2 linked regions of the Arabidopsis thaliana genome follow. The protein of the gene in region 1 interacts with the protein of each later gene in a pairwise test. Each region holds a gene or a part of one and is shown in the gene's direction. Other genes may lie near its edges.

What was found. The genes of interacting proteins can lie anywhere in the genome.
Region 2: the proteins of AGL48 (region 1) and AT1G49475 interact in a two-hybrid assay, tested with the Arabidopsis thaliana proteins (one large-scale study listed by BioGRID).

The regions. Positions count from the first base shown.
Region 1 is NC_003071.7:16,792,605-16,795,978, reverse strand, and holds AGL48 (AGAMOUS-like 48), read left to right. Parts: upstream 1-1,650; coding exon 1,651-2,766; downstream 2,767-3,374.
Region 2 is NC_003070.9:18,311,114-18,314,745, forward strand, and holds AT1G49475 (AP2/B3-like transcriptional factor family protein), read left to right. Parts: upstream 1-1,769; 5' UTR 1,770-1,869; coding exon 1,870-2,013; intron 2,014-2,113; coding exon 2,114-2,537; intron 2,538-2,630; coding exon 2,631-2,635; 3' UTR 2,636-2,986; downstream 2,987-3,632. Other genes in the region: AT1G49470 (transmembrane epididymal protein (DUF716)), read left to right, coding at 1-349; RTV1 (uncharacterized protein), read right to left, coding at 3,483-3,632.

The DNA.
Region 1 (3,374 bases):
TTCAAAGTGTTTGGACATGATTTTGTCCGAATCCTAGCTTTCTTTGACTAAAAAGAGTTCTCCGTTTCTGTATTTCCCTTGTCCTGTGATTTCTTGTTTACTATGGTGTTTATTGGAAGTTGACAAGAAAAAATCAATTTTATTTTTTGTTTATGATTATATTTCGAATCTTTTAACAGTATTATACAAAATTTAAATTAAAAATAATCCCATATCTGACTGGGTTATACATGAATATTTCAATATTAATAATTAATTTAATTTATAATAATTATATATACAAAACACAACAAAATAGATTATTATATTTTCATTTGTTATATGAAATCACAACACTTTTCTATATCTTGGTTACGTAATAATTTAAGTGCACAAATATGGGTATGGTGATTCATATACTAGATAGAGATTGACATAAACTTTTCTAGAACCGATTATTTTGGTAATCAAATCATACAATGTTGTTTATGAAAGATCACCAGACAATGTGGAATAAAGCTTAGTTTTATTGTTTTCCTCTATATCTTGGTATTATTGAAATCTGGCAAAGTAGTACCAAACCGAATCCAAAAAAAACAAAATCGAGAAACAAAGAGAGTTACTACGTACACAAAAGAAAACATTCAACCACAACAACACAACGATGAGAGAAAAAAGATCGCTAAACAAAGAAAAAGAAAAAGATACAAGATGTCCATTAGAGTTTTAAGAATATATTATTCTCTTATATTTTTCCCTTAAAAGTATTGTTGTTTCAGTTTTTTGTATAAAACAATTATAAACAATTCTCAGTTTAGAGTCTCAATGTAATAACAAGAAAACATCTGAAGTAAAAAAAACAATTTATAAATAAAGAATTCAAGAGTCAACTTTTATGTATACATATGGTAATACATATATATATATATTTAATTCATACTATGTAAATATGAAAATGATACTTACACTGAAGAAAATGTATAGTCAACATTTAGTTTCCAAAATAATTATCTAACACTATGAATTAATATGATTCACAACAATGAAAATAATGTTAGTCAATATAATCATTAGCATTAAATAATGACAGAACAATTAATTAAATCATCAATTTGGTATATTGACTAGGACCTAAATTTGGACAGAAATTCAGTTATTTCAATTTTCTGTAATAGTACAATTAACCACATAAAGATTTTAACATGTTAATGGTTTGATTTGGATTTTAGTTTTTGTTTACTAGTATTGTTTTTAAAGAATAATCAATGTAAAACCAAATCCAATATAGTTTGGTAAATTTTTAATTAGCTTTGAATTCAGTTCTTAAACTTTTACTTTTTTAGCAAAATAAGTTTCATTTTTAGTCAATTTTCTATGGTATTTATGATATTTGAAAATAACTTTATAACCAAAACATAGGAAAATTCTAGTTTTTGAGTTGATATTTTCAACTTGGTTTAGATCTAAAAGGTTTGGTTTAACTAAAACATTACCATAGACATTCAATATTTTTTAGTAAGTAGCAATTAATTTTACATCTTTTGACTAGTATCATTTTCCAAAATCTCATCTTTTCAACACTATTTAAACGGATTCCCGCGCTAATCTTCATTCATATGCTCAACAACATTTAAAATTTTAAAAGAGAGAAATAAAAATCGAAGAGTGATCATGACAAGAAAGAAAGTAAAACTTGTATGGATCGAGAATGACAAGTCAAGAGCAACAAGTTTGCAAAAAATGAGGGTAGGATTACTTAAAAAGGTGAAAGAGCTAACCATATTGTGTGCTGTAAGGGCTATTGTAATCATTTTCAGCCCCGATAAGGTTGGACCATTGGTGTGGCCATCTCCTCAGGCGACTCATGGTCTCCTAGACGAATTTTTCGCTTTACCGAAGTCCGTGCAGAAGAAGAAAGAGTCAAATGTCGAATCCTACCTAAAAGAGAAGACACATAAGTTTCAAGAACAATTGAAGAAGAGTAAAAAGAAGAACAAGGAGCATGTCATTGATGAGCTGATGATGCAACTCCAAAGCGGTCGTGAAATTGCTGATCTTAACCAAAGTGAGATGTATGCCTTGTTATCTTTCTCAAGAGATACTATCCTACTTTGTAGGAAGAAACTAGCTTTCATGCAATTTCCTCCTCTTCGCGATCCACCAGTGTTTCCATTTGAAATACAAGTCGAAGAGTTCAAAACCACCACAAATGATGGTTTTGTAGGAGGCGGTCAAGATAATAAAAGAGCTGGAAGGACAGATGAAGCAACAAGATTCATCAACACCGATATATTTAAGCAGAGTAAAAGTTATTACTTTTTTGATGAATGGGTTTTTCCACCTAGTCCACCTAAATATGAAATACCGCAACAAATGGAGAACGGAAATCCAAACCCTAAAAGCTATCGTCTTTATCAAGGAAGCAGTAGCAACGGAAACCCTCATTTGGAAATGGATCCATTTCGTCTCCAAATGATGACTTCCCAAGGTTTGGCTGGGTCAGTCTCCCAACCTTTACAACATCACAGCATGATCAATAATCCAACAATGGCTATGAATCAACCAAGCCAAGATCCTTTTGATTACATGAGAAGTGAGCTGGGAATAAACGAAGGAATCAACATTAACAACTCACAATTTTACATGAGCAACAACACTATAACGGCTAATGATGGTGTTCGCCAAGAACCATATCCTAATGTAACAACCGCTGGAGAAAACAATGGTGATGCGACGACGTCTAATACCAACATGGTGTGGCCGGGTTTTAACAATCATCATTTCTAAACTCTTGATTTGGTTTGTGTTCTAAGTTTGTATGCGTTTATCTTTAAACTGTGTTTCTTTGTTTGTTTGTGGAGCTTTAAAAAGCTTTTCTTTTTGTTGTTTTAAACTTGTGTTTGTCTTTTTTTTTTCTACAAACTGTTGGTCATTTTGTTTCGTTGTTTTGGAATAAAAAATCTTTTTATTTTGTTGACTTTGAGTTGGTCATTTTGTTTCGTTGATTTTGACTATGCATTTTTATTTCATCGGAGACCTATCTCTTATTTCTATATTTTATTGTGATTTACTTTTTTTTTCCATCCTTAATCTTAATCATTAACCTGATTTTATTAAAATGCATACGTTTTTTTTTATATAAAAACATTAATAAGTATATGATGGATGAGTTGGCCAAATTTATAACAAATTTTCTTTAAAAACCCATAGAAACAAACAAATAATTTATTTTAACAGACAGAAAAAAAGAATATTTAACTTTTGATTCTCGTCCAAATTTCTTAAAAGCTAAGAATATATAAGCAAAAGGCCCATATTGTTATATGGGCTAAGAAAAAGGCCCATATATATATACCTCTACCCTAGGGTTTTCAAGGTATATATTCACAGTTACG
Region 2 (3,632 bases), on another chromosome or scaffold:
CTTGAACATGGGGTTCATGCTTTGGATCCCAGAGTATGTTCCTAGAGGTTGCGTGAGTAACATGTCAACATCTACAGACAATAATAGAAGGAGTGTTTATCATAGTGGTGCGGTGGCTTGTGAGTCCCCTGGTGCTGAGATTAGGGCAAAAGCATTGGCGAATCTGCAGTTTAGTTGGATGTTGTCTGCTATACTTATCATTACATGTGCCTTGTGCCTCAAGTATTCCGGTAAAGTTGTGTTGCCTAAGATTAGGTCATCGTTGGAGTACGAGCGTCTTTGCCGGCAAGGAAGTGATCGTTCTGCAACCGTAACGGTGGAAGCACCGGCCAGTTCCGATCAACAATAGATTTTCCTTACTTTAATTTATCATCTGAATATGATGTAATATGTACATATAGTACACTAATAAGTAGCCCTAATAATAGTTACATAATTTATAAGAGGGGGCAGAGTGTAACGCACTAATGATAGTGGACCCTTTCGCATGCTTTGTGAACTAATAAAAATTTGCATATAGCAACAACTTGGTTACGAGTTTGAAAATTAAATTTAATAACTTACTAATATATCCCTAATTCTTGCTAAACAGAAATAAAATAAATAAATTAACACTAAAACTTGGTTGTAGATGATAATAACAAATTTATATGTTTTATGTCAAAATATAACCCTCACTTAAAATGATATACCTATGATTGAAAGGTTATTTATCAAGTACATTTAAAAGAGGCTGTACAAAAAGTACATTTATATAAGAGTATACGTTGTGTTGATGAAATATTGACTGCTAAATAATTGATCATGTATAACCATTTATTATTTTCGCTTGGCCGATATCAGAAATGATGGAAAGCTTTAGTGCAATAACAAATTTTGATGAGCGTATTATCGATGATAACACTCACCAGAATATATTTTATTTTTTTTACTATATAGTTGTTAAGTACATGTAATAGTTTTGGTATCTTCTGCAACGTAGTTTTGCGGTGAAAACTTTTGTTTTGTTTATGTCTAGCAAGAATTAGTGTTGTGTGTTGAATGTTGATCAATAAGATATTTAAATTTAATTTTCAAGCCCAAACTATCCTTTGTTAACAAAATAAAATAAAATAAAACTTTTGATTGAGCAGCCAAGTTTTTATCATTGCATATATGATATATCCACCTTACCTCCATAAATTAAAATACTTCATATATATATATTTAGTTGTAATATGTAGGGTGAAAGAAAGCTAACAGAGTTAAACATTAGGGTCAAATTATTAATTTAGGAGATAATATATTGCAAATTAAACTATCAGTTTAATGCAAATCTACGTTTTACGTACAAAAAATGCAAGATTACATCCATTCAACTCATTAAAACTCATGCAATATAGTAATATACAATAGTTTTTGACGGTAACTAACTGAATTTCAGTTACTCAAACATTTTATGCAGAAAGATTTTTATGATAAATTAGAAACAAACATTTCTATATAGGGAATTAACATCACGAGTCACGAAAAAATAATCATATCTCCACAGTTTATATGGTTTTTTACTTCTTTTTTTGTCTGATCAACAAAAATTTTAGTTTATTTAACAAATCTAGTATTTACTTCATTTGTACCGTTTTTCTAGTATTTACTTCATTTTCAGTATAATCTTCTTTACTTTCTATCAACTTTAATATTTCTGATTTTAGTTGAAAAATTTATTACAAACTAAATAAAGGATTCTTGGGAATCTAAAAGACTTTTAACTTTTTCCAATGTGTAATAAACTAAATAAAGGATTCTTGGGAATCTAAAGTGCTTCCTCTTCACTTTTCAATTTCCTTCTCTCCTTAACAAAAATCTCTTCTTGGCAAGAAACAAACACAAATGAGGAATATGCATACTAACCGGAGATCACCGGGTCCAATCACGTCGGCAGCAACTCAACGCCGGCTAAAACCGGAGCCAGAACCGACGGTGAAGAAATTCATCAAGATTATTCTCCTCTCAAGAATCATAGAAAAAATGATGGTACAGTAAAAAAATATTTCACCCACTTTTTGTATGTTCATCTTTTTCATTTAAAAACAATAATAATTGAAACTTGCTTGCATGTGTGAATTTTTGACAGAAAGTTCCGGCTAGATTTGTGAGGTTTGGTCCTAAACTCACTGACAACGTGACTCTCCAGACTCCTGTTGGTTTCAAGAGATCAATTCGGATTAAAAGAATCGGTGATGAGGTTTGGTTCGAGAAAGGTTGGAGTGAGTTTGCAGAGGCTCACTCTTTAAGTGATGGTCACTTTCTGTTTTTTCATTACGAAGGGGATTCTTGTTTCCGTGTTGTGATCTTTGATGTGTCTGCTTCTGAGATTGAATATCCATTGGATGATACTGATGATAATAGAGAAGAAGTTATGGATGATGATGAACAAGGGTTTACTGGTTTTGAAAGTAGTGATGATGATGGTGAAGTTGTTGATATGGATGAATTGTTGAAGAAGAAGAAGAAGAAACCAAGAGTCAACATTAAGTCTGAGAATGTCATAATACTTGGTAAAATGTTTATAAGACATTTCTTAAGAAGGATTTGTGGGTTTTGTTTGTATCTTTTATGTGATTTCTTGTTCTTCTTCTTCTTTGTTGTAGACTAGTAGATGATGTTGAAGAGATTGCTATGAGGAGTCTTGAGGAAGAGGACTTGAAGAAGAACTTATGCAAGTATGTTTCTCCGACAAAGATCTCTGCGGTTCCTAGCTCGTTAAACCACATAATAGTTCTTCGGTTTTTTGTTTCTGGTTTCTAGCTCGTTAAACAGATTTGCAAGCTTTAATTTTTAGTAAGAACTTGGCATTTTTAAGACCCGTTGTGTAATATGTGTAGTGGAAATTCTTGTCAAGCCTGGCAAGAACTTTGTAGTAAGAACTTGGCTAACTTGTGAGATCCTGTTATCAGTTTGTGTGATGTAATGTGTATGTCGAAAAAAAAGCTTGCCCTGTCTGAAATATAGCAAAAGCAATTCCTCATTCAAAAAAGAGAAATCCAAGCTTTGATTGGTAAACCTTAGAACGGTGAAATGATTCTGCAAGTTTTACACAATAATATTTTTTTCCCCCTTTGTCGTGATATTTTCACCATCTTACACCTCACAGTTAAACCAACTAGAACAAGCTTTGCCAACTACATTTATGGATTCACCCACACAAACCCATAATAATCAACAATTCAAATAAACATAATTATCCTGATGAAGATAAAAGTATATACAACTCTACTTTTGAACCTAGCTACCACTCAAACAAAGAGTTTCCCACTCAGAGGTTATTATAATCGTCAAATACTTATCCACATCCAAACATAGGAACCTGAAATTTCACTCAAAACACTACTAGAACAGAGACAACCAATGCAAGAGAGAGAATGGTTAAGAGACCCCTACATAAAATTTTAACTTTGGAAAGCTACCTGCAAGATCGCTGATGAAAGGGAAATCTTTTTTGGTCACACATACTCATTGACACGAAAGGCGGTGACTTCGAGAACGAAATCCCGAGTTCTGAGTAGCTCAAACACACATACATCTCCTTCGCCTATATTGTTCTCGAGTGTGAACTCATACCATCCTTGGCTAAACTTAGCTCTCCCTGCTTT